Linked DNA regions of Astyanax mexicanus. The protein of the gene in region 1 purifies or fractionates together with the protein of each later gene. This does not show direct contact. Links are inferred from orthologs where the notes say so. Each region holds a gene or a part of one and is shown in the gene's direction. Other genes may lie near its edges. The genes, in order: fam98a, rtraf, atxn2 and nufip2.

What was found.
Region 2: the proteins of fam98a (region 1) and rtraf purify together in Homo sapiens (affinity purification with mass spectrometry; 4 studies listed by BioGRID and IntAct, with this or other methods). This does not show direct contact. The link is inferred for Astyanax mexicanus from reciprocal best matches to the Homo sapiens genes FAM98A and RTRAF.
Region 3: the proteins of fam98a (region 1) and atxn2 purify together in Homo sapiens (co-immunoprecipitation; 3 studies listed by BioGRID and IntAct, counting the BioPlex papers as one, with this or other methods). This does not show direct contact. The link is inferred for Astyanax mexicanus from reciprocal best matches to the Homo sapiens genes FAM98A and ATXN2.
Region 4: the proteins of fam98a (region 1) and nufip2 purify together in Homo sapiens (co-immunoprecipitation; 3 studies listed by BioGRID and IntAct, with this or other methods). This does not show direct contact. The link is inferred for Astyanax mexicanus from reciprocal best matches to the Homo sapiens genes FAM98A and NUFIP2.

The regions. Positions count from the first base shown.
Region 1 is NC_064421.1:33,954,822-33,962,726, reverse strand, and holds the start of fam98a (protein FAM98A), read left to right. Parts: upstream 1-4,904; 5' UTR 4,905-5,028; coding exon 5,029-5,066; intron 5,067-7,171; coding exon 7,172-7,320; intron 7,321-7,905. Other genes in the region: si:ch211-195b21.5 (zinc finger protein 318), read right to left, coding at 901-986, 1,722-1,943. UniProt on the Homo sapiens protein: Positively stimulates PRMT1-induced protein arginine methylation. Involved in skeletal homeostasis. Positively regulates lysosome peripheral distribution and ruffled border formation in osteoclasts.
Region 2 is NC_064421.1:2,872,796-2,879,748, forward strand, and holds the start of rtraf (RNA transcription, translation and transport factor protein), read left to right. Parts: upstream 1-3,928; 5' UTR 3,929-4,048; coding exon 4,049-4,109; intron 4,110-5,084; coding exon 5,085-5,209; intron 5,210-5,536; coding exon 5,537-5,636; intron 5,637-6,953. Other genes in the region: uncharacterized protein si:ch211-266o15.1, read right to left, coding at 1,687-1,751. UniProt on the Homo sapiens protein: RNA-binding protein involved in modulation of mRNA transcription by Polymerase II. Component of the tRNA-splicing ligase complex and is required for tRNA ligation.
Region 3 is NC_064429.1:14,080,388-14,087,373, forward strand, and holds the start of atxn2 (ataxin-2), read left to right. Parts: upstream 1-3,982; 5' UTR 3,983-4,504; coding exon 4,505-4,608; intron 4,609-6,986. UniProt on the Homo sapiens protein: Involved in EGFR trafficking, acting as negative regulator of endocytic EGFR internalization at the plasma membrane.
Region 4 is NC_064425.1:29,145,986-29,153,053, reverse strand, and holds the start of nufip2 (nuclear fragile X mental retardation-interacting protein 2), read left to right. Parts: upstream 1-4,062; 5' UTR 4,063-4,179; coding exon 4,180-4,327; intron 4,328-7,068. UniProt on the Homo sapiens protein: Binds RNA.

The DNA.
Region 1 (7,905 bases):
AAACGCTCATAACCGTGAGCACTGGTCACAAAATTCCGACGGTGACAGAAAACGGTGTAACACCGCAGCGCCGACGGCGCTAGCTAAAATAACTTAAGGCAGCTAGCTTAGCTAAACACCTGAACTTATGAATAATGCTACTGTTTCTGGAAACTGTGAAATGCCATGCACAAATATAAACCAAAACTGTATAATTTCTGCCTGTGGCAGGTTTAAAACCTTTGGTAGACAGCCTTAAGTCTTTTTAAAGACACCCGCGGAGACCCTGATGTAAACGGTAACTTACTGTGTGACCCTGTTGACATAGTGCTCCTGGATGTTTGCGCTATAGTGCTCCTTTTGCACATATGGCAGAGGACCACATTGTTGCCCTTTTGCGTGAAATGCTCCCAAACTTTAGATGCCCGCTGGCGTTTTTTTGTAGCCGTTTTCACTACCGCAGTTCTACAGCGGGGGTGTTGTGCCGATTCTGTCCGCTAAGCGGGAGTCAGATTCAGCAGAGAGTCGGATTCGGCACAAGCGCGGCTGCACCTCGCGGTCCGCGGTGTCAGTTGTAAGCGCTCGCGCTAGCCGCAAAATACGGCGGAAAACACTGAGGGAGCTGCAGAATTATGTCTGTGTCTCTCTCTCTCTCTGTGTGTGTGTGTGTCTCTCTCTCTCTCTCTCTCTCTCGCACGTGAACTCCTCCGCGTTTGACTTGCAGAACTGTGTTTAGCTGTTCTTAAAAATCATTTTAATTAAATAATAGTTCTATGCTTCTATGTTACCGTGTTAATTAACATATTTACGACGCGCCGACGCACGTTATGCAAATCGATGTATTTTCGTAATCGATGACGTCGATTATGTCGACGCGTCGCCCCAGCCCTAGTATGTTATAGTAAGTTAAGGTTCACTTACCTCACTTCTAGACTCTGCAGATCCGTCTGCTGGACCGACCATCCCTGAGGAGGCTGACTGTGCTGGAACTGGTTTGGAGGTGGTACCTGGGCAGGCAACATTTTGTACATACAGAGGTAAGCAGCTGAGAACCACAACAGAATGAAGATTAATAAAAGCATGCTTTTAAACGTAGCCACTGTCTTTTTTTAATAGTGCAGCAGGGTAGAGCATTTTATGGCAAGACCCAGTTTCTAGTCATATCACACCTTCAATTATGTACAACTATTTAATTCTGCCTGAGACACAACTGCAAGCTAAACTCCAACCAAAATTCTCCAAACTTATATGGTGTCCAGTGCAGTAGTACAGGTTCTGTCGATGTAAACATGAGGGAAAATTAATTTTTTTTTCAGTGTACCCTGATTTCACAGGGTAACATTTGCTGAACTGAGGTGATGCTTAGTGTCGCTCAGTGCTTAGTGGAGGGGCGTAAGGTCTATAACATCCACCAGCTACGTATGTGCTGCCATCTTTCCGAAGTGTAAGAGGATTCCAGTGGTCACCAGAAAAGCTCTACTGAACTCCATGCCCAAGAGATGGAAAATAACAGTTTTAAATTAACACTGTTATACAAGCTGTACACTGACTGGTTTACATTGTATCAAAGTGTTGAATCTTCAGTGTTGTCCCTTAAAAATATATAATAAAATATTTGCAAACGTGAGGGGTGCACTCATGTATGTGAGATACTGTAGCTAGATAGATAGATGGATAGATAGATATATAAGCAGATAGATAGATAGGTAGATAGATATACAAGTAGATATCTATGTTTTTACCTCGTAATACGGGTCTCTGGTCGCCGCTCCGCTGAAGCTCTCGGGACCGGATCCCCGGTACGGAGGCGGGGGCCGCGGCGGAGCTCCCCGGTACGGTGGGGGGAACGGCGGCCTGTTATACGGGTCTGAAAAGGGAGGTTGTCCGCCGCCGCCGGGGGGAAACGGGGGTCTCTGGTGAAAGGGCGGCCGGTGGTAGTTCGGGTTTGGGGGTCTGGAATACATCTCCGTACAGCTCGCCTAGATAAAATAACCACTCCGCTGTTTCTGTGGGAGATTAGCTGCAGCTAAACTAACGCTAGGCTAGGCTAAACTAAGCTAAGTCTCCACTGTAACTTAATTCAGGCATTTAGTCCTCACCAGCAAACTAACGCTAAACTATCCCAGCAGCGCTTTTTACTCCACTATCAGACTTTAGCTCCATAATTTATCTTAAAGAAGTTAATGAGTGTGTTAATGAATGAGTCTGTGTTGTGATTCTGCTCACCTGCAGGTAATGTAGATCACAGCACTGAATTACTCAGCTACACGGGCTGCGTCCCAAATCCACACTCCTCGCGCACTCTGTAGTGCACCAGAGTTTCTGAAGGCCACGGAGATTTGATACAGATGGTAATAAATATTATGTTTGGTCAGAGTACGATTTTTGTTTAATTTTACTGTTTACGTACTGTTTAAGACTAAATGCTATAATAGAAAGTTGAGTGTAAAACGTAATTATTTCATGTTTTCCATTTGATATGGCAAAGAAATGTGGGATGTGTTTTCTTAATTATTTTCATTTTTCTATGTTTTTTTCTTCATTTTTGTATCTTGTAACAAGAATAAGTATGTTGGACAAGTTAGCAATCACTAAGCAACACCATAGCAACCACTAAGCAAACACCATAGCAACGACCAGGCATACCATAGCAACCACCTTGCAACACCATGGCAAGGTGCCAAGATACACGAAAACTGTGAATGAAAACCAGAGTTATTCCACCAAATATTGATTTCTGAACTCTTAAAATATGAACTTTTCTTTGCATTGCTCTAAATGACAATATTTTTATTGGAATTTGGAGAAAAATGTTGTCCGTACTTTATAGAACAAACCAACAATGTTCATTTTACTCAAACATATATGTATAAATAGCAAATTCAGAGAAACCGAATCAGAAACTAAAGTTGTCCCTCCTTTTTCCAGAGCTGTATGTACAAAGAAAAAGTTCACTATAGGGCAGTAGGGTGTAGGGAGTAGGGGGCAGTTTGGGATTGACCCACTTACTATCGCCCTCTGCTTTCTGAAAGTGGAACGCACAAGCTGGCGAGTGCTGACTGTTAAGTTGCCCACTAGACGCTAGGCTCTGTTTTGTCGATTTTGCGTGTTGTCTTCTCCTCTTCTTATAGAGGTTTGCATGTAAATAATCCAGGCAAAGTCTCTGTCTCATACAAAAAGATCTTTTCCAACAGTGTAAATTTCTCAGGCTGTAAAAACCGGCATGTTGGCGACTAGCAACTGAAGAGGACCATTAGGACCTGGTTAAAGAGCCGGTTTAAGGAGAAACTGGCCACTTCCTTTGTCCCTACTACTGACTGTTAACCGATAGAGGGAGCCCACGAGTTAGTCAAGAATGAATGGGTGCGAATGAAGCTAAACGGCTAAAAACTCAGATTAAAATAGTAAGCATCTACGTGTCCGCATTATTCCTTTAATTTTAGAAAGATAACTATAGTTTTTCGATATAAACACAAAGAAAAGTTAGTAGTATGTTTCAATGTTTTTATATTATACGAGATTTTGGAAGTAAAGGTGCTAGCGTTGCTGCTACTGTGAGCTGTATGGTTGGTGAGCTGATGCTGCTGGAGATACAGCTAGAATATTCTTAAAAGGCTCATTTAATACACATAAATGAACTATCATCATTATTTCATAATAGGCCAGATTTGGGCAGGTTTATGTAATTAATAAAACACACACACACATACAGGTTATACTAATTACAAATTACTCATTACCATTTCGTAATGACTATTTATTTACTGCCAGCTTATGTGCAATAACATTGGTCACTGCTTAACATAAGACATACGTACTGGAAAATCATGCTGTCTCTAATCATATTTTTTTTAGATCAATGTTGTTAAGTTCTCTTTTATTTTTTGTACATATACATTACCGGCCAAACGTTTTAGAACACCCATATTTTCTGCTGTCCAGTAGCATTGCTGTGTGGCTCAGACAAGCTGTTTTTTATTGATTTTCTCATCTGAGCAATAACTTTTTATTGTATTTCACAAGAAATTTATGAAAGAAGGATTTTATCTGAGCCTTGGATGGTTATACAGACAACTGTGTTATACAATACTCAACAATTTAGAACAATTTAGTAAGCTTACTGAAGAAGGGGAAACTATTCGAGAAGCGTAAGTCTCTCTGAAAGGAGTAGCTGAAAAATATGATGTGGAAAATATGATGGAAAGGATCTATAATTATTCTATGTGCTTTTTTAAGGATGCCCTGAATCAAACATCATGTTGACAAATCTGTGTGCTTAGTTATGACAGCGTTTTAGAGCCACTTAAAAAAAAAACAAAACAAAAAAAAAAAACATTTGATTCAGTGAATAAAGTCATAATTTTACAAGAATAAATTCGTAAAACGAATGTCCGTGCTTAATAAGTATGTTAGACAAGTTAGCAATCACTAAGCAACACCATAGCAACCACTAAGCAAACACCATAGCTGTTACAGTGTGGAGCTTCGTAAAACGAATGTCCGTGCTTCTTAAACTGGCAGCCCAAAGTAGTTAGCCTACTTTTAACTCAAAATAGTATAACTTTGTTCTCATTATTGTAACGACTTTAATCTTGTAATATTACAACTCTATTATCGAAATATTATAACTTTAATTTAAAAATATTGATATCCTAATATTATGACTTTATTCTTGTAATATTACGACTTTAATCTCGTAATATTCTCCTAACATTGCTACTTTTTCTCAAAATGTAATATTAATATACTATATACTCGTAATATTACGATTTTATTCTTTAAAAAACTGCGTCGTACTCAGTAACCATGCTTTTGAACATTTGTTGATTCTGTATTTAAAAACAGATTAAACATTTACAAACTGATTTTGCTGAGTTGTCCCATAAGAACCAGTTCATAGAGCTCCCTGAAGACGCTGTTAAATGGGTGGTCTCCTCTCTATACGCTCTCTGGCGGTTATGCCAACCCAGCAGCCAGGCGCCCGGTCCTGTCAGTCTCGGTAAAGAGGCGGTTTGTGATTTTTGGGGAGCGCTGCGTCGCTTCGACTGAATGGAAGTCGATATTCTGGATTCTCTGGAGGACCTGGGGTGAGCAGGGAGCGCCGATAAGCCCCGGGTTTAATACTGGATTCAGGTTTAACAGCTACAGGTCGCAGATTTAGCCTCGCGGCCCCGGTTAGCGTCCAGCGTGCTGAGCTAACTCCTGCAGATCAGCTCGGTTTTACCGGTTTTCTGGAAGATTCGCTATGTGTTAGTGCGGGGTTTAGAATGTTTTTATTAAATAAACACCTGTAAAACGCTCCGGCGGGAGATTTAGGCTTTAACAGCGTTTAAATAATTGTATTTTTATAGTTTTGCTGAAGCTAAAGTTGGCTAGCTATGCTTAATTCTCCAGTCCACCTTAAAATGCGCAGCTGTTACAGTGTGGAGCTTCATGTGACTGCATGGGAGTGTTGCAGAATTTAAGGTGGACTGAAACTCGAAACGCGAAACTGAAGGACTGACTGACTGCTATAAATAGGGAGGAACCGATGTGGGAATTCTGGGCTGATACCAATATCCGATATTATACATTTATTATATTAATAAAAATAATAAACTAATTATCTAATAAAATTAATCCTAAATGAGATTAATATCAATTAATTTAATTTAAAAGTGGATGTTCAAACAAACTGCTGCTCAGATTAACTTATATTAAACACCTCACAGACTTAAGGAGATATAATAAAGGAACGATGTACAGCTAAATATACAATGTTATCTAATGTAATCTTATATACTTAAAGTTCCACCACTTATTTTGTCCAGTTTTACTTACAACATAAATTTGCTGTTCTAGTGTAATTCTAGTGTAAGTCATTCATTCTTAAGTAGGAAATATGCTAAATAGAGTTATTTTCTCCTACTTTAAGGAAAACCAAGTATTAGCCTGCCCCGAGCTGAATTTATGTTGTAAAATTGGGGCAATGTAGCTTAACGATATATATATATATATATATATATATATATATATATATATATATATATATATATATATATATATATATATATATATGTATATATGTATATATGTATATGTATATATATGTATATGTATATATATGTATATGTATATATATATATATGTATATATGTATATATGTATGTATATATATATGTATATATATATATATATGTATATATATATATATATATATATATATGTATATGTATATATATATATGTATATATATATATATATGTATATATATATATATATATATATATATATATATATATATATATATATATATATATATATATAAACATGTAGCTGATGTTCCAGTGTGATTTTGAAGGACTTTTTCATGTACATAAGATTACATTAAGTTACTTACATTTAAGTTATTAAATGTAATCTTATATACACAATCTTCCACATCTTACCTAGTTTTACTTACATGAATTTGCTGTTCTAGTGTAATTCATTCATTCTTAACTTCAGCCTCGTATTAATTTTAAAGTTGCACGGCCAGTGTCTGACAGTATTAGTACCACTCTCAGCTGGACTTTGTACTTTTCCAGAACATATAAAATATTGGCAATACTGGCCAAATGTCGATGTAATTCTGATACCATCGTGCACCCCTAGTAATCTAGACACCTCTAGTTTACAAAAGTGCCCAAACGCAGCAGATTACATATCTACTCACTAAATATCAGAACGCATCACATTTAAACATCTCCTTTGCGTTTGAATGGTATTGTAAATCCTATGTTCAGCTGTTTCTTTCATTTTAAAGCTGTGAAGCTCATGGTAGAAAATAATTAATCTGAAAATTAATAATCAAGTTAGTCGACTACCAGTCATTAATCATTAGTTGCAGTCCTAATGTTCATTATGAGTCATTGTGGGTGTGTGTTTGCTGATGTTTGTGTGTGTGTTCGTACTGCACCTATAAAGGCAGAAGCCACAGATGGAATGCTTTTGTGTTCAAAAGTATTTTAAAAGTGTTTCTCTATCTGTGATCACTAAGCCCTTATCAAGCATAATAAAATAAATAAACACTTAAAGTAAATCACTCTGTGTGTAATACATTTATTTAATACGAATTTCGTTCATTTTGAACTGAACTACTGAAATAAAGTAACTTTTCAATAAAATTTAATTTTGCACTAGTATCTAAAAGTTTGCCTTTGTTTCTTTGCAGGTATCAGGGTCCCCTGTTGGAAGATGGCTCTCTGCAAATGGCCCTTAGTGGTGGAGCTGCTTCACCCGAGTTTACTAAGCTGTGTGCCTGGCTCGTCTCTGAGCTCAAACTCTACTGCAGGCTGGAGGAGAATGTGCACGCCACCAACTGTGAGTCATTGATATTAGGGGTGTGCTGTATTGTATCGTACACAATGATATCACCAACATTTTTGGAAATCGTTTTCACAAAATATCCTGCACCCTGTGTAAGATACATCAGCAATAAACAGAATACACAATAAAATAAATTGCTGTACCAGTAAAGTTCCATTTCCTAAGCTAAGAAGTGCAAAAGCACTGCTCCATTAAAATAGCAATCCACCAAAGTCAGAGCGCACCTGGCTCTTAAAGGGAATGGCAAGTGACACACTGATGGGTTTATTTCGCATTATGCTCAAAAAACACCCGTGATTAATAAAAAGAACTAGTTCATGCCTTTTGCGCTTTTTGAGCCATGCAAGGCATACTTTTCCCGTTGTTATGAGAGCAAAGACACTTTGACTTGCCCTAAATCAAGCTGCACAGTGCGCTGTTTGCCTATAGCTCACTACAGTTGGGCACCAAGTCTTGCAGATATAATTTAATTGATTAATGGCATCTTTTTCTGTACTAACACACTAACAATGCTTCAGGGAACTGTAAACGCTGCTTAAAGGGATAGTTCGGGATTTTTGACATGAATCTGTATGGCAT
Region 2 (6,953 bases), about 31 Mb from region 1:
AGCACAGTTGGCCCTGCTCTCTCTGGGTGGGTACAGTAGATGGCACTCTTTCCCCCTCATCACTCCAAGAGTGATGTGGATCAGCACAAGGCTGCGTCTGTGAGCTGATGTATCAGAACCGAGTCACTGTGCTTTCCTCCGAGCGTTAGCGCTGTGATGCTACTCGGCGATGCTGCATCAGCAACAGTTCAAAAACAGGAGGAGTCTGACTTCACATGTATCGGAAGAGGCATGTACTAGTCTTCTTAACCCTCCCCCTGGTGTTGGGGCATCACTAGTGATAGGGGATATACAGCTGAGTAGCAGCTAAATGGGTGGGACAATTGGTCTGATAAATTGGGAAAAAATGGGGAACAATAAAAAACAAAAAAAAACTGAGATATCAATTGTGTAGTCTACTTCTAATTAATATAAATGTACATAATGCTACATGTTGCATGTTTTTTTCAAGAATCTGCATTTTGTCTGCTTTTCACAACATTGTAATAAACATTTTATATCACAATATATATATTATATATTTATCATATATATATATATCATATATATATTATCTCCCAGCCCTAGTTATTCACCTTAGAATTTTATTTTAACTTATGAATCTGTAGTTATTCTCAAATTAAGTAATGATAAATGAAAAGCTTAGTTTTGTCTGTAATTTTATAGTAATGAAAAGATTTTGTCTGTGTCAAAACATTGCAATAAACATTTTATATCACAATATATAAATATATATTATACATTAACCATATTCCCCAGCCCTAGTTATTTATCTTAGATTTTTATTTTAACTTATGAATCTGGAGTTATTCACAAATTAAGTAATTTTAACCATAAATGAAAAGCCTAGTTTGGGCTTTTATTTTAGGTTAAAAAAAATTGTCTGGGTGTCAAATCAATGTTATAAACATTGTATAATGTAAAAACGTCTTTAAATATCAGTATATAGATTATATATTTACCATATCTCCCACCTTTAGTTATTAGAGGAATATGATCAAGTTAAAAAATAGGCTTTACATTTATGATTCAAACTACTAATATAATAAATAATAATAAACATCAGAACATAACTATAACATGTCTAACGTAGAGTTTCAGTTCTATAATACATATATTCACCAGCATAAAATAATCACTATATAATATATATTTAGCATATATATATATAATCTCCCAGCTATAGTTATTAGAGTAATATTATCAAGTTCCAAAAAAAATTGTTACCAAAAATAAAAGCCAAAAATAGGCTTTTTATTCGTTTTATTTACGATTCAAACTACTATAATAAATAATAATACATATCAGAACATACCCAACATAGAGTTTCAGTTCTATAATCAATATATGTATATACATCAGCATAAATTTACAGCAGTAAACTGCAGTAAAAACAATAACTTTAGATAAATGAATGTGAATAGAGCTCTGGAAGAATAAAAAATGTCAGTATTAATATTATACAGCTACATATAGTACATTTATAACTAGAGATTGGAACTCCAGATCCAGCTAGTAATAATCCAGACCAGGATTTTGCTGCGCTGCCCGGGCGGATCTGTGTATTGCGGAGCTGCAGCAGAGCCGCCCACGCGGTTAGAAGAAAATCCCGGCATGGATATTTACAGTGTGGGCCTGGATTACCTATCTAACCAAAACGGACCATTTTAGTCAGCACAGACTTACCGGAAAAACTGCAGATTACTCTCCGCAGAGTATCTGTTAACGCAGCCCAGAGCAGAGCACGACATGACTGCCCAAACCTCCAAATTACAGCTAATAAATAATAATAATAATCTAGTTTTATCAGCTAACTAATAAAGTTAGGTTAATAAACACAGAGAGCTAAAGGATTCTGCGGGCGGCCCGGTCCAAACAAAAGGCTACAAATATCACTCAAAATCCGCATTTAGCACATAATAGCGGATAAATACATGTAACATATAATAAGTAATTATTTCTAAAATTATAAATAAATTAGTAAATATAAATAGGCGTATTAGCTAGCTAACTATAGTTGACTGCTGCGAGCTAGCTTAGCTAAGCTATTTTTTTTTTGTTCAGTTAAACCTTTATTTTGAAAAAAGTTTTTTTTAATGCCGACCGGAATTTGGCTCTAGTTAGATTCTTTTTTTTATTTTATTACCAACTTAATATGGAAATATAGCGACAAAAAAGACAGGGATCATAAATAAGTACATACAAACGAAGGCTACAGAGTAAATAATAAATAAAAGAATGGAGCACAAGTTAAAATATAAAAGTATTTTTAATACAACATTTTCTTTTTAATAATAATAATAATAATAATAATAATAATAATAATAATAATAATAATAATAATACATTATTATTATTATTATTATATTTATTATTATCATTATTCACTGAATATGTAAATATACAAACAAGTCAGGGAGCATAAGTGTACAAGGACTGTGATATTAAAATTTAAATAAATATTTTTTTATCATCTTTCTATTCTTTTTAAACCCAAATCATGTGTAAACAGAGTGAAAGAGAGTGTTATTATTTATTCCCATTTACAACAATGTATATATATATATATATATATATATATATATATATATATATATATATATATATATATATATATGATATTTACTCAAAATAATAACCAGACTAACTAAATTTAAAGCTGGTCAATTACTTGAATTTCTTGCCTCTTAATATGTTTGAGACATAGACTGTATGTAAGCATGGACATTTATTTACGTTTTTTTATTTTTTACTTCCGTTTCACCCTTTTTTTCTTTTATTTGTTAGCAACATACATATCAAAACAATATACAATAATACAAACTCTTGTAGAGGATATCAGCTACAATTCAGAAGCTAGGGGGAGCATACACAAACATACAGAATAGACGAGCAAGGTAATAAAATGATAATCTTAGAACAAAAGGTTACTAGAGATCTTACGCCGTTTTGAAGCCAAAATATGGCCGATATGGAAGCTGCCATCTTGCGTGCGCTTGCGCAGTACAGGCAAATTGGAGCCAGACCTGTGGGGGGCGGGGCCATGTGACTGCCCAAACTCCGCCATCCCCTTTTTTATTTTTTTGTTTCACAGTCATTTTCACCAAAAAAGTTACTTAACTCAGCTAACCTGAGTTGGTTAACCCAATTAACTATTTATATATATTTATATAGTAGTTTACTCCCTACAGTTAGGGAGAAGAACAAAGTATGAATACTAATAAATTAATGGAGGGAAATGATCCACTTACCGAAAGAACTGCAGAGAATGTTTCTCTGAGGGTCTGTTACTACAGTTAACTGCTGAACATGCCATTGCTTTACTTTAGAAATGTAGTTTTTAACAGTAAAATCCGAATGTGAGAAAGATCTGACTGTGAGCTCCGCGACAGTGGCGGTGCGCGTTCACGCTCTCAGGCGACCTGTCAATCAAATTGCCCTCAGCTTGCCCTCCCCCTATCGCCACACCCCTTTAAATATAACGGAATAGCTCCTATAAAACGTATTAACTGTATAGAAAAACACTGGTGGTTATTAACACAGGAGGGGGGCTTGCAGAATGTACAGAACCCAACTAACAAAAAAAAATCCTGGATGTAAAATTACATTAATTTTAGATAAAGATTCCTCCATCTCTCATTCAGTTGAATGGAAATAGGCGGGGTTAAAAGTTGTACTGGAGCCAGCCACCAGAGGGCGCACTTTTCAACCCCTAAAAGAGAGATAAAAGCACCTAAATGCTTTTTCACAGAGTATTTTGGTATGTTTAATACTTTTAAGTTACTACACATTTTTATGTGTTCCTTCATAGTCTGGATCACTATTCATTGACTATGTATGAAATAAAATAAAAAAAAACACTTAATAAGAAGGTGTGTCCATGTTTTTATTTGAACTTTTATTTTGAAAATCATTTCCACGCCGACCGGAAGTTGGCTCTTGTTAGTGAATGTACTGTGTCAGTGCTGGATCTGGAGCAGCTCGTGCTGAGTATAAATATTAAATCACTGTTTTGAATTAAATCTGTGACTTTTTGTGAAGCAGCAGAATGTTCCGCAGGAAGCTCACGGCTTTAGACTATCATAATCCTGAGGGGTTTGACTGTAAAGGTGAGTCTTTTATTTCTATAATAAAAGCAGGGAACCGAGCCAGGAACGTGGAGACAGAGCTCAGAAATTACAAAATATAAAATAAAAAAATAGGGTTTATAAAAAACTGTCCAATTAGATAATATCCTATTATCCTGTTTTATTAATAAAAATATATTAATTTTAGGTTAAGCTATACATGTAGTGTGATTAGTTTTGTTGTCTGGGGTTAGGGCTGTATCTGGTATTGTAGGCCAGACAGACAGATATATAAAAATAACCTCACTGTATTAATATTATAGATATAGTTCTGGAAAACTATGCTTTGCTATTTATAGGTTTATGTTTGAGTAAAATGAACATTGTTGTTTTATTCTATAAACTACAGACAACATTTCTCCCAAATTCCAAATAAAAATATTGTCATTTAGAGCATTTATTTACAGAAAATGAGAAATGGCTGAAATAACAAACAAAAAAAGATGGAGAGCTTTCAGACCTCAAATAATGCAAAGAAAACAAGTTCATATTCATAATCCTGTTTTTAATCACATTTTTCATGCATCTTTGCATCATGTTCTCCTCCACCAGTTTTACACACTGCTTTTGGGTAACTTTATGCCTTTACTCCTGGTGCACAAATTCAATAAAATTTGGCAAAATCAAAGAAACTAAACTCCAGAGTGTGTGTATATATATATTGCTGTATAACTACCAGAGCAATCATACTGTACCAGTCTAAAGTATTTTTGTTTACTGAATAATTATGTGTTCCTTTATAGCTTTAATACAGTTTTTAAAAATTAAGAAAGATGTCAGACTTTTATTAATTTAAGAAAGTAAGAAAACACACTGAATGAGAGGTGGTGTGTACAAACGTTTCACCGTTACTGTGTAAAACATTGTTATTTATATTCATACAGTTAATTATTTAATGTGTGCTTTATTAATTTACCAGTTTGCTTACTTGTTGTTGGTTTTTCTCGTTTTCTCCAGATGAAACTGAGTTCAGGAATTTCATTGTTTGGCTGGAGGATCAGAAAATCAGACATTATAAAATCGAGGATCGCGGAAACCTGAGAAACATCCCGAGCTCTGAGTGGCCCAAGTACTATGAAAAGGTTATTTTTAAAGTCATACTTGAGTAAAAGTTTTTTTTCCTTTGTGCAAAATTTTAACAATAAATTAACAATATAAAGAGTAACTGGCGGATTAAAATAAATATCATAAAGTATAAAAAAAAAAAAGTAAATATATATAAATGCCAGTAATTGATTGAATGAAATTTAGTACGTACATGCACATCTTTGAGGTAATTCCTGTCGTTGCCTCACAATATAAAACAGTGATGTGGGTTGTTAATATTGTATTAATGGAAATGCAGCACTAAATAAATCAGGATGTCTAACAGCTTTATTTTAATCTTTAATATGTTTATTTTTCTGCAGTATCTGCAGGACGTGAACTGTCCCTTCAGTGCCCCGGAGAGGCAGGAGGCAGTGGACTGGTTGCTGGGTCTGGCTGTTCGGTTTGAATATGGTGATAACGGTACGAATCTCTAATAACGTGCTTTTTATTATTTTATTTTATTTATTATCATCACCAATCACCAATCATTCAACAGACACCTTCTAACCGCCTGTGCACAGATAGCCAGACAAATGGATTTATATTTAAACAAACAGACAGACAGCTGGGCAGACAGATTGTTAAACAGACACACAGTTTGTCAGATTGCTGGGTAGACAGACAGTTTGCTAGACAGACAGATAGGTGTCTTAAATGAATGCTACACACACAGTCAGTCAGTTTTACTGGATAAATAGTTTAATAGTAAGACAGACAGAAAAAAATGCAAGATAGTTAGTTAGACAGACAGAAAGACAAAATGCTAAATAGCCAAACAGACAAATTACTAGAGAGTAAGACAGACAGACAGAGAGATGAAATTCTAGATAGTCAGACAGCTAACAAGACAAATTACTAGACAGCCAGACAGACAAATACTAGATAGTCAGCCAATGAAACGACATGCTAGATAGTGAGACACACAGATTAATTGCTAGATGGACAGACAGGCAGACACATTACTAAATAGATAGACAGACAGATAAATTTCTAGATCGACCGACAGGCAGACAAATTGCTAGATAGTCAGAAAGGCAGACAAATTGCTTGATAGATAGACAGACAGACAGACAAACAAATTTCTAGATAGACAGACAGACATGCAGACAAATTGCTAGATAGTCAGACAGACAAATTGCTAGATAGTCAGACAGACAGACAGACAAATTGCTAGATAGTCAGACAGACAGACAAATTGCTAGATAGTCAGACAGACAGACAGACAAATTGCTAGATAGTCAGACAGTAAGATGAAATGCTAGATAGTCAGACAGACAGACAGACAGAAAGGCAACATGCTAGATAGTGAGACACAGATAAATTGCTAGACAGACAATTAGTTACATGGAAAGGTGATTTGGTCTGTTTGTCTGTGTGTCAGAGAATCACCATAAATATGAATTATGGTGAAAACGTCTTTAAACATTGTGTAATGTTTTTACTCACTGTCCTTCTGAAAGCACCATTGTTTGTATATAACATTTTTAGAATGTAATAAAATTGTGATCTCAGTTTACACAAATTCAGAGCTTTTATTTTATTTAAATGGATGTAAATGTATTTCAGAGAGTTTGAAACTAAATAGAGCTGAATGGCTCTGGCTTTGCATTAGCTTGCAAAATCTATAGTAGTGAGGACTGAGAAGACATTGATTGGTTGGATCACTAGATGGCAGTGTTGTTTTAGATATTGAGTCCCATGACTTTTGCCATGTCCCATTGAAGCTGAATGATGCAC
Region 3 (6,986 bases), on another chromosome or scaffold:
CCATTTTATCCCATTAATTAATTAACTAACTAACTAACTTACATCTTACAATCGCCTAAAAGTTGATGACTGAACAGCTCCTTCCTACCTGCACTCACTCCTGAAGGCTTACGCTACCTCCCGGCCGCTGCGCTCCTCCAATGAACGTCGCCTCGCTTTACCAAACAAACTTTCACACAAAGCAATCCAGACTGTTCTCATACAGAGTTCCCCAAATGGTGGAACAAACTACCTTCCACTACCAGATCAGGAGAATCTCTCACTATCTTTAATAAACTCCTGAAGACAGAGCTCTTCAAAGAGCACTTACTCCCCTAACACCTCTAACTAACTACCTTCTACTACCAGATCAGGAGAATCTCTCGCTATCTTTAATAAACTCCTGAAGACTGAGCTCTTCAAAGAGCACTTACTCTCTTAACACCTCTAACACACTAACTACTTCTAACCTCATTTCCTTCTTCCCCTCCTTCACTCCTCTATCCCATTATTTACCTTTGACCTTCTTTAGGCCCTATTTAAAGATGTTTTTTACCTTTAACTTCTATTACTCTATGTACATCATTATTATAAGTCGCTTTGGACAAAAGCGTCTGCCAAATGTAATGTAAATACTTGCTTGCTTACTTATCCATTTATTCATCTCTATGTCCAATACAATGAGGCGTATCAGTGGGTCATAAATAAAAATATGTTTGTATGCAAGAATATGTAAAGAAGTATATTTGGCTGATTCATACATTATTGTTAGAAATTTGCCTTTTGCCGTTAGACCACTTCTGTAAGGTGATGAGGCATGAACTCTCTGGTTCTGGAGACTTTCTCCTTCCCTGCATGTTTTGGTGCTCCCTTAGTCTGAAACATCTGATTCAAAATATTAGCTTGCTATCAAAAGTCAAAATCTAAATGTAGGTTTGCTATATCCAAAGGGACACCTGAACTTCCAAATATTACATTTTTTGCTCCTAAAAGATGTAATTATTCACTCAAGCACAGGTAGTATGAGACAAAAATTCAATTAAATGAAAAAAGTTGACATTTAATTTTCATTAACACACTTGTATTTCATGGTGAAATCCAAAATTAAAAGCTGAATAGAAAAAGGAACACTTCACTTTCGCTTTATAAGCACATAATAAGTGTCAAAATGAAAATGCAATATGCACTTATCTTTTTCTTTTCAACTGTGATGAAAAATAAAGGCAAACCGTCAGGTTAGGATTCAGCTTCAAGTGGCAAAAAAAGAAATAAACTTGGAAAGCGCCACCTTGTGCTGATTTAAGCTGGGCATATGTAAATATATGTTAATTAGCAGTGGGCAGTGCCTCCTGATGCAGCATTTCATATATGGGAGTTCATGGAGTATGTGTTATTAGGAACTGCTAGCTAGTGAAATCATGATCTCTGTGGATTTGTTGTGAAATGACTGTATACTGATAGGGGATGGAGGTCTAAAACGCTTAATGTAAAAAGCCTTAACATGTTTTCTTATCACTGAAACCTCTCATAAGGAAAAAGTTTAACGTGGCTTAATATACTAAAACAACAAGTAAATAAGCAATATGTGGTGCTTTTCACTTTCATTTTTATTTTGACATTTATTATGCTACTCATAAAAAAAAACAAGCCAAAGTAAAGTTTGAGGTTTTTCTATTAACCTTTTCATTTTGGATTTGACCATGAAATACCAATATGTTCATTAATGTTAATGAAAATAAAATGTCACTAACTTTTTTATTTAATCCTCCACAGCAAAGTGTTGCCTCAGGTAACAAGCCAAACTTTTGTTTATTACACCATATCAATTACACCACCGCTTTGCCTTATTTAAATTTTTTTTAAACAATGTTGCAATACATATCTACGTCCAATACAATGAGACGTACAGGTGGGCCAAACAAAAAAAATATGTATGCAATAATTTTTTTCATTCTTGTTGTAAACTTACTTAAACAGTGTTTTTGTTGGGCAACGTTATGCAAATAGACCACTTTTATTAAATTAATCATGATAAAGCAGTGGTTCACATTTTCTCACGAAAAATGCCACCGTACATCACACAAATGCTTATTAAAAATGATACAACTTATCAGACTCGCTCCAGTGACTGGATCAAGTGGGAAAATCTGCTTTTAGCTACAGTGCAGCACCAGCGAGCTGGAATTCACTACGGGAAACACTAAAGCTTAGCTTAATGGTGTCACAAAATAATAAACTCCTATTCTGAAACCACCTTCATTTTTGTTACCTTTGATTTTCTTACCTATGATTGATAAATTCCTACTAAATTCTTATTTTTATTTTATTTGTTTTATATCTTATTTCAAAATATCTTGATTGATTATATGATTAAAAAATACAATTCATGACATAGAGGGTTACATTTTATTTTTAGCACAGACTACCCGTGCTTGAGTGAATAATTAAATTGCAAATAAGTTTTATTTAATGTTATTTTTAATTTTCACACGTTTGGACAAATGAATGTTAAAAAGAGCATTTGCATTTTATTCTTTTCAATTCTGTTTTATTTTTGGCTGGATCAATCTCCCATCGGATTGACAGTTCTGACAGTGTCAGTGAATCAGTGTCAGCGAATTGGTTTCATTAAATCAGTATCAGTGAAACGGTGTCAGTGAAACGGTGTCAGTGAGTCGGTGTCAGTGAGTCGGTGTAAGTGAAACGGTGTCAGTGAGTCGGTGTCAGTGAAACGGTGTCAGTGAGTCGGTGTCAGCGAATTGGTGTCATTAAATCGGTATCAGTGAAACGGTGTCAGTGAGTCGGTGTCAGTGAAACGGTGTCAGTGAGTCGGTGTCAGTGAAACGGTGTCAGTGAAACGGTGTCAGTGAAATGGTGTCAGTGAATCGTGTCAGCGAATTGGTGTCATTAAATCGGTATCAGTGAAACGGTGTCAGTGAATCAGTATCAGTGAATCGGTATCAGTGAAACGATGTCAGTGAGTCGGTGTCAGTGAAACGGTGTCAGTGAGTCGGTATCAGTGAGTCAGTGTCAGTGAAACGGTGTCAGCGAATTGGTGTCATTAAATCGGTATCAGTGAAACGGTGTCAGTGAATCAGTATCAGTGAATCGGTATCAGTGAAACATGTCAGTGAGTCAGTGTCAGTGAAACGGTGTCAGTGAGTCGGTGTCAGTAAATCGTATCAGTGAGTCTGTGTCAGTAAGTCGCTGTCAGTGAATCGGTATCACTGAATCGGTATCAGTGAAACGGTGTCAGTGAGTCGGTGTCAGTAAGTCGGTATCACTGAATCGGTATCAGTGAAACGGTGTCAGTGAGTCGGTGTCAGTTAGTCGGTGTCAGTGAATCGGTATCAGTGAATCGGTATCAGTGAAACGGTGTCAGTGAGTCGGTGTCAGTAAGTCTGTGTCAGTGAATCGGTGTCAGTGAGTCGGTGTCAGTGAGTCGGTGTCAGTGAATTGGTGTCAGAGAGTCGGTGTCAGTGAAACGGTGTCAGTGAGTCGGTGTCAGTAAGTCGGTGTCAGTGAATCGGTGTCAGTGAATCGGTGTCAGCGAGTCAGTGTCCCTGAATCAGTGTGAGTAAATCGGTGTCAGTGAATCGGTGTCAGTAAAAAAGGTGTTAGTGAATAGGTGTCAGTGAGTCGGTGTCAGTGAATCAGAGAAAGAGATTCGGTGTCAGTGATTGAGTGTCAGTGAATCGGTGTCAGTGAATGAGTATCAGTGAATCGGTGTCAATGAATCGGTGTCAGTGCTGTTCAGGGTCTCTCAGAAGCCGGCTGAGCTCACGTGGCTGCCTCAGCACTACTCTGCTCCGCTCCCACGGTGATCTGTTAACTTCCTGAAAATAGTGCGCCACGTTTGGTCGCACATCTATCAAAACTCGGAAAAGACAACAAAATCCCGCAAACCTGAGCACGACCTGCGGCTCAGGGGAGGGAACTGCGCTTATTTTTTAAGTGTTTCTTCAGTGTCAATCTGAATTTTAAGAGTAGATAACTGCACGGCTGGTGTGTGTGTGTGTGTGTGTGTGTATGTGTGTATCCCTCCGCTACATTTTGTGTCTTTTCAGACTGTTTAGGTCTTTGAGAGCAGCGGGGCGCCTCAGTGTCAGCCGATACTACAGCTCAGAGATACAGACTCAGAGGGGTTTACTAGCTAAGCTACATTAATTCAGAGCGCATACAGCTGGAGAAAATCAACAGCCTGCAGCAGAAGCTCTCCTTCAGACAGTGTTTCTGTTATAAGGAGGAAAAGACACGCTAGCTAAGCTAAGCTCGCTGATTTAGCTCTGGAGTAGAGGCTGTAGCTGAAGGACTCAGTGCGGCTAGGCTAGGCTAGTTAGCTAGTAGGCTAACATTAGCTGTCATTCGTTAGCTAAGCTAGTTAGCCGTTAGCTCCTCTGTCAATAAGTCAGGCAGGATTTCAGCGTGTCGTGCTCTGCTGTTGTCGGCAGCGCGTAGGACAGATTTCCCTCCAAACACTTAAAGCTAGAAAACTCCGCTTAAAGCTGTCGTTTATGGGATAACCATGTCAATGAAGCAGGCCGGTGGTAATCGCAAACCCGGCGGGATCAACAGCGGGGCTGCTGCGGCCTCCGGAGCTGCGGGCTTCGGACGGCAGAGTTTGGGAAGGTGGGTGACAGCCTGCGTTTCTGTGTGACAGTTCTGAATACATGAACACCGCGACCCTCACACACACTTACAGCCCTCAGCGTGGTGTTAAAACACTGCAGCCCGCGGTACTCCGCTGTTCAGCGGCCGAGAAAGCGCTGTTAGCGGGCTAGCTTAGCTGCTGGTAGTGGGGTTATAGGCCGGAGTGAGCCAGGCACGGGCAGGACAGAGAGGTGTTTATTAGGCCGGGTTTAGACAGCGGGACGGGGGTTCACACACTCGCCTACTAAAATGTGCTGCACCCACTGTAGTTAGCTGTACACATCCATCCAATTAACTAACTAACTAACTAGCCACTGAAATAATCTGCCACCTAATTATTATTCATTATTAATTCAACTGCATAGCCGTTATTGAGATTTCATTTCAATATTTGTAGATACGGTCTGTGTTTTGTTTTCATTCTCCTTCACATAACTTCTGTTAAATCTACTATTACCTCTAGATAATGATTTGGTATCTCACAAACTGATTTAGAACCTTAACAAAATGGTTTAGTATCTTTAAGTAATTATTTAGTATCTCAAAATAATGATTTAGTATCTCCTAGTAATTATTTAGTATCACAAATAATGATTTAGTTGTTTTTTAATTAGATCATCTGAAAAACGACTTAGTCTGTTAAAATAATTATTTGGTATCTCATAATGAAAAAGCTTCTCGCAAAAACAACATAGTGTCTCAATAAGATCGCATAACAGAAATATGAATTAGTATCTCAAAAATATGAGAGCATCTAAAAACGACTTAGTGTCTCATAATAATGAGGAAGAATCTAAAATAATGATTTAGTATATCAAATAAGGTTTTTATAAACATAAAAAAATGATGTATCTCAAAGTAATGAGACTCGATCACATTATAATTTGAATTACATTTTGTAGTAATAAATTGTACTTATAGATGTTTTGTAGATATCGGCAATTGAAATATTTACTAGTAAAAATGTAGTAATGGATAAGAGGGAGTGAGATTACATGTAAATCAAGTGTAGTATATGACTAGTCAAAATAAAGTAAATGTCATTTTGGTAACATGACTAAACCTTTGAGTTTGCGTTTGAATTTGGTGTGATTTTAAGCTAAAATGGCTTGCTGTAGTTTATTGTCTGGTACAGTGTAGATGTTGCTTGTTCTGTGGCTGGGTAATTTGTACAGGGTTCTGCTTTGCTGCAGGTTCGGCAGGCATGGATTTTAAGTTTGATGAAAAAAAGTGTCAAGTCAGCGCAGTGTGTCTGTGAGCTAATGGCTTTTCTTGCCACATTCCATGTGAACAAGCTTCATGTCAGTAGGTGCAGCTGGTAAATACAGTTGTCATTTTTGTAATTGATTTAAATCCTTTTGTTTTCTTTTCTGCTTTATGAAAATTTATTATGTGTCCCTCAACATCTATTTTTGATGAGGATAACACTGATTGATTTGTTTTTAAACTTAGGAGACCTATCAGGATGTAAATCTTGCCTAATAAGCACATGAGAAGACCAATCAGGATGCTCTCACAGTCAGGCTCATCTGTCATTTATTTGATTGCTCCAAGAGTGCTCCAAGATTTGTGAACGTCATAGATCTAATACAAGTATGCATATGCTAGTCCCAGGATATGTGGGGTGCCTGTTAGTATAATATTAGTTAATAACATAAGTAAACTAATACAGATCAGAAGGTATCTGACTATGTTATGATTTACTAAACCATTGTGTTGTTTTGGCCTAGCAATTTGTGTGTGTGTGTATGATGAGAACCTTGCAGCACCTTCAGGATTCACAGTTAACCAGAATGATATATAACGTAACCTTTTATTAAAGTTTTTTTTGGTTAAAATCTTCATGTAATGGGTTAAAGTCCTCTCTATATAATAAGTGACACTTCACTGTGGGGCACTGTGTATATGGCTACATAACCCTTAACTCATTCCTTATTAAGGAATGAAGGGTGCAGAATGCAACTTTCAGCATTTTCTGTGACTCCTCTGCTGAAATACCTATCAAGTGCTTTTGAGGTAACACTGACATGAAAAAGTTTACTTGTGTCTCTGTGTAAAGGTTTAAAAATACTAATTTGTGCCTAATTTATTAATTTGGGAATTAGTAATGTAAAAATCTCCCTTTATCGAAGTGTTAAGAGAAGTGCTAATAATTTACCATAAGTACCATAAGTTACCATGTAGTTTAAAAATGATTCTTGTCACAGTAATATGGTAATTTAAATATTTAATTTCTAAATCATAAATTTAAATGTTCATTTGTTTGAAGGTGGTAACTGAGTAAGACAGTTGCACTGTTGGTGGTATTCAGAAACTCAGAAATCTGCAGTGGTTTATGTGTTTTTTAAGATGATGAA
Region 4 (7,068 bases), on another chromosome or scaffold:
TGTTTAAAAGTTCACTGTGGAGTCTTGGAGATAAGTTTTGGCACAGAGTGGCCACAAAATATGCCCTCAACATACTAATTTGTGGCCTCTATTATTTATTTAATTGACTTAACGTATCATTTTATGGCCTCTACATATTTTCCATGGTCTCAATTTATAATATATTGTGACCTCGATATATTATCTCATGGCCACAGTGCATCTTGTGGCCTAAATTATTTATACTGAATATATAATTAATTATACTTAATATATAATGAATTATACTTAATATATTAGCCTCTACCCCTAATACATAATCAAATGGCCTGTATAAATTATATCATGGTCCTAATATACACATATATATTATCTTCTGGTCTCTGTATATCAACGCAAAATATGGCCTAAATATATTATTGTGTGGCCTCAATATAGTATATTTTGGTTTAAATATATTGTCTTGTGGCCACACTATGTTATTTTCACCTTAATAAAATATTGACACCATACAAAAATGGAAGCAAAAGATAATACATTGCTATTATTATTTACCCAATTTTTCATTTTTGTCAGATGCAGCTGATTTGATCACCTGGATAATCTAGGTGACAAATGTTTAGCGATTCTAACTAAAAATCGGTAAAATAATTTAGTGCAAAAGTAACAAAATCTGTTGTTATTTTAAAAAGACTTGAGTCTTGAAGCTCCATTTCAAAATGAGTTCATACAAAAACATGGAAGAAAAATAAAATCTACAGTAGCAGTAAACAAACAATTGTGAAAATAAGTTTTTTGTAGTCTCTTTTTAATTTAATACTGTAATGTTTAGTAATGAATTTAGTAATAAACTCGAAATATTCTAAACATCACGTCATATTCATTCACAGTCCATCTGTAAAAATGAGGAAACAATATATTACATAAAAAATATGATTGGACGATTTAAAGTGGCAGTTCGTATTATTTTGATTCTAAACTGAAAGCAGAAGCATTACTGAGTGGAAAAAGTGACAGAATAATTTGTTTAAAAGATCGCATCACAGCTGTCTATTTTAAAATGATTCTTCCGCATGCTCAGTGTAATTACCCATTCTCACCAGAGAGGGCCCTAAATCCCAAAACTTATGGACACCAGCTTTAACCTACAGAATGATTTATTAAATTGAGGGAACAACTGATTAAACCTATGGACTTGTGTGGTACTAAATTGGGGATAGGATTTAATTAAGAAATTAATTCATTAAACTCTGGGAATTATTTAATATTTCAAAGAAAGAATATAGAATATATATATATATATATATATATATATATATATATATATATATATATATATATATATGTATATATATATATATATATATATATATATATATATATTTATATATATATATATATATATAGAATATACACTGTAAACCTATACGTTGTTTAAACTCAAATTATTTAAGTCTATTTTACAAAAAATTGAATATTTCTAAACAATACTCAACTATTTTGCGGCACATATACATTCAACTTTGTCACATCTATTTGCATACTGGGTGTGTCCAACAGTTTCTGACACTCACCATCAGTGTGTAGTGATTCCCCCTGGGCTACCTTAGAAATAAATCAACTTCCTCTTTCGTTGTAATAACTTGAAGTTTTAGTTTATGCTTAGTTAACTCAAGTTTTCGTACCCCATTCCTCAATTCTTTAAGTAAATTCAACTTATCCAGGCTAACAGTGCAGAATATTGGCTGCTGGACCGGACAACGTCCCCAGACGGGTGCTAAGGGATCAGCTCTCAGAGGTTCTGGCGGACATTTTTAATGTCTCCCTCATCCAGGCAGCTGTCCCCACTTGCCTGAAGACTGCCACCATCATCCAGCTCCCCAAGAGCTCCGCAGTGACAGGTCTGAATGATTACCGGCCAATAGTCCTTACGCCGATATTCACAAAGTGCTTTGAAAAAACGATTCAGACCCACATCAAAGACACAATCAATGACACTAGGGATCGTTTCCTATAGGGATATCTTGGAAGCCAATATGCTTCCAGGAAGAATTGATCCACAGAGGATGCCTTTTCCTCCGTGGTCCACATTGCCCTCACCCACCTGGAGCAGAAGGATTCCTATGTCCGTATACTGTTTGTGGACTTTACATCCACTTTCAACAAAATGATTGCTCAGACTGATCAATAAATTCTCCTCACATGATCTGAGCACTTCCCTCTGAAACTGGGTCCTAGACTTCCTGACCAACAGGCTGCAGTCTGTAAGGATTCACAACATCTCCTCCCTCATCATGATCCTCAGCGCTGGCTCCCCTCAGGGCTGCGTGTTGAGTCCCCTCCTGTTCACACTGCTCACATATGACTGCTCACCTCTCCATCCATGCTGTCTTATTGTGTCATATCGAGGCACACCTGAAGGTTGGTGCAGAGAGAACAACCTCGGCATCAATGTAAAGAAGACGAAGGAGATGATTGTGGACTTCAGAAGAGGTCAGCATCAGTGGCTCAACTTCCTCAGGAGGCTGAGACAAGCTGGACTCGGGAACGCAGTCCTCACCTCCTTCTACAGATGTGTGGTGGGAGAGCAATGTGTGCTCCAGCATCAACGTGTGGCATGGAAGCAGCTCTGCTGCAGACAGGAAAGCTCTGCAGAGGGTGGTAAAGGCCACACAGAAGACTGTTGTCAGTCAGCCTCTCCAGCACCAAGGACATCTACACCTCCAGATGCAGGAAAAGAACAATCTGCAAAACAACCAGACTGAGAAACAGCTTCTTTCCAGAAGCTGTACGACTCTTAAACACCACCTAGCCAACACACTGCACTGACACTTCATTTAATATTTTACTCTTAATTAATTGTATTATCTTACATAACAATTGTTTTTTGAGTGGAACTGCACCATGAGATTACAATTTCAATTCCACCTCATGTACAACATGTGATGTGCATCTTTTTTAAAAAGTGTTAAGGCTTTATTAAACTGAGTAAATGATTTAATACATTTTAGGAGCAGTTTATTAACCTGAAGGAATAATTTGATATCAAAGCAAGGGAATGATTAATTAAACTGAGATAACAACTAATAAAAACTGAGGGAATTATTTTTAAATCATGGAAAAGAATGTATTTAATGAATGAAACAATTTATGTAACTGAGGTAACAATTTATTAAATCAAGTAAATTATTTTGTACACTAATTGAATGCTTTATTATAGTTGCAGTATGGAAATTGTTTTAAACTGAGGAAACAATTTAATTTAAGTTACTGGATAGGATTTATTTAATTATGCAAAAAAATTATAAACACTGGAAACAATTTATTATATCAAAGAATGAATATAGACCACTGAGGGAACCATTTATTAAACGAAGCATATAATTTATTATTTTGAGGGAAAAAGTTATTAAATTAATATAATTTATTAACAAATTAATACATATTAAACTGAGAACAATTTATCTAATCAAAGTGAAGGCTTTATTAAACTGAGGGAATATTTTTTAATAAAGTGAATTAATAAACTTAATTTAATAAACGTTTATTAAATTTTATATCAAACATGGAAAGAATTTATTTAAAGAATGGAATAATTTATCAAACTGAGGGGATGATTTATTAAATTAAGCAAAGTGTATTGTACACTGGTGGAATAATTTCTTATAGTTAGGGAGTATTTTTAAACTGAGGAAACAAATTAATTCAAGGAACTGTTTATTAAGATAAAGGAAGAATTTGAGATTAAAGCAATTGACGGATTTATTAAGAGACTTTTAAAACTTATAAAAAATGAGAATACGATTTGCTACTGAATAAGGACATGATTTATTTAACTAGTGGAACAATTTATCAAATCAAGGGAACGATGTATCAAATTAAGTAAAGTATTTTTTTACACCGGTGGAATGATATAATATAGTCATGGAAAGTATTTCTAAAGTGACAGAATGATTTTATATGATTCATTAACTGTGTTTAAATATATATTTTTTCTTTTCTGGTACTGCAGGCTCTCCGTAGTTTTCGCAGTTTTCCTGATACAGTCTTGCACATATTTGCGTGTGTTTCTGAGGCTGAAACGCCGCCCAGGCAGAGCTGGATTGGGCATCGGCGGCGTCTGCACTTCTGCCCCGCTGCACTACAGCCACCCCCCCTCCGGCCGGGCGCGTTCACTCACTCGCTCCCTGCGCTCTTTAAATGGAGGATCGGCCCTGCGTGGGGGCGAAGACTGCGAGATATCTGAGTCCTGGAGCAGAGAATGGGTCAGGACGGGCGAAATTCTCGGTGAACAATGATCAAAGCTGCTGTCAGCTCCAGGACGAGGAAACGCAGACGAAGAAAACAGGTTGGTGGAATGTAACTAGCTCGCTAATGTAGTGTAGTGTAATGCTGTGCTGTCCATCTCACCACAGCTAGCTGCCTGTTAGCCGGCTGTTGGGTTAAAATAGCTTAGCTCTCTTCTCAGCTTCTGATAACTTCATTAAACTTCAAATATCGACACGTAGCCTCTCCTGCTTGGTGTTGTGCTGGTGTAAGAGTGGCGGGACGGTCAGATCAGCTGTGTTTTGGCGTTTGATTGATGACTGCCGTCGACATTTGGCAGCTTTGATAGCCGCCTATAGCAAGCTAACCTAGCTATCTAACTGTATGGCTAGTAAAGTGTGGACATTGACCTTGTGCGCCGGCTTCAGCCCAAAACACAGCCATTTCTCCACTGATCAGCCTCACATCTATTTCTGCACGATGGTTATAATGTGGAAAGTACTTTTAATACAATATATTTTATATCTGTATCAAGAGAAAGGTGAATTTTGACGATCTCATTGCTTTAGCTTCGTTCCTCAGCAACACCAAACCTAAACCCGGTGTTCTGCTGAGTTGTGCTACCCAATGGTATGTGGTACTTATCAGCTTTACGCATGCGCAAACTCAATATTTTTAGATTTTTAGTATTGATTTGACTGGCATGTATAGGTAAACTATGTGGCTCATACATTTTATGCAAACATGCAAAATACTATTACTGAAAAAGCAGTCGTGTGCTTGCAAAGACAATAAATAAACTTGTCTCTAAAATTAATGTTACTTAAAACAGACTAAACTTAATCACTAAACCTAAACTCGGTGTCGTGTCGAGTTGTGCTACCTATTGACATGTGCTACTTAGCAATTCTACGCATGCGTATACTCATCTGTATCGTTTTATGATGATTCTGTTTTCCTCGAGTGCATTTTACAGTTTTCTCACTGCCTTGGCGATGTTTGAATGTTACAAAAGTGTAAAAGGCTATCTAAACGAAAACTAATCTTCACATCAATTAGTTATCTATCTTAGGTTATATTTAAAGTAATTTAGGCCATCCAAATACCTCCCCAAAGATCTAGTTAACAAGCTAGCTTAGCCTTTAACAGCTTTTTGTGGTAACGTTCTCTGATATGATGCTTTCAGCTTTTTTATCGAAATATCCTAAGCGGTCAGCTGTTTTATTTAGTTAGCTAGTCAGCTTTACTTGTACACTACCGTAGCACGTTTTGACAACGTTGCACAAATTGGCACAACGCCGGCTTCGGCTACCTCACTGTAGCTTTAGCTAGTTGGATATATGAAGTGAGCTGTTGGGCAGAAAGAAAAACAGGCACAAAACTTTCATGTTTAGTCTAAACTCTTCAATAAACCAAAAATAAACCACATACAAATATAATTAATACACAAAATGTCTTAGAAAACAGCTGTCCCACCTTTAAGGCCAGCGACAGCTAGTTATAGCAAGCTAGCGGTTTGCTAACCAGCAAAGCTAACTAGCTTAGCAAACAGGGCCGCTGCAGTCATGTGAGCAGGCCTGTTTTTAGGGTTTGTTAGCTTACCTTAACAATATTACCAGCTCTGTTAACATAAAGTCGGTCAAAAAATTTACGTTATTTCGTTGAAATAATAGTTTGGGGCGTGAACAGTTGCTGTTAGCTTGGAAGTGCGACTATTAACTGCTGCTAGGATTGCTAAGCTAGCTATCCAGCCAATTTAGCTAACTGGCTACGTCAGGTTAACTAACTTCAGCTGTCTTTGGCACTGGGAGCTGAGTGAAAGTTGACCTAATGCCCAAACTGTTGTAAGCTTACATTTCTATCTGTCTATTTAGCTGTGTAATGAATAAAGTGCTCTCATTTTATTATCAGAGTACTTCCTATGTAACGTTTGTTAGAAATTGTTATCTATTAGGCTGGCTGACTAACGTTAGCTGGCTTTCAGCTAACTGATGATGAGGGCACTTGGGCAATGGTGGACACAATGCCCAAAAGTACTGGATAGAGCTTCAGCATTTCAGAGAGCACAGTTCATTTCACTGCTCCACAGGTCAATATTAGGGGCTTGATACCCCTCTGTGCAACAGAAAGTCCATGGGCTCACTTGAGGTAAAGTACGGACACCAAGGTAAAATATTACGAAGGCAGAAGTCCTTTTTTTTTTTTTTTACCTACACTTGAGTAAAAAGTACAAAAGTATTTGCCTTTAAAGGCACTTAAGTATTAAAAGTAAAACTACCATGATTTCTTAAATTATTTTATGTCAGATTTGTAACAAGACTCTTTCTTCATCAACTACTTTTAGATTAAAAGACCCCACTGGCACTCATGGTTCGCCAATCTTAATATAATGTCATTAATTAAGACAAAAGTGCAATTGGAGAGGGGAAAATGCTCACTCACATAGTTTGAAATGAACATAGTCTGTGTCTCTGAAAGTGCTCAAACACAACAGATTACATATTTACTTACTAAATATTAGTCTTTTTTTGGCTCTGAGTGGTCCAGCAGGCTAATCCCTGATACAATGATCAGGAGATTGCTGGTACAAATTAGCTTGCCATTGTCTACCAAAGCCGAGAGGGCACAATTGGCCGTGCTCTCTCCACATCACTCTAAAGGGTAATGTCAATCAGCACAAGGCATCTGTGAGCTGAAGAATCAGAAGACGTATACGTGACTTTTTATATCTTATGTTGAACTGTTTCTTTGTTTTTTAGAGGTAGCGATCATGGCAGAAATAATCACTGAATAATCGACTAATTTAGAAAAAAAAATAGATTA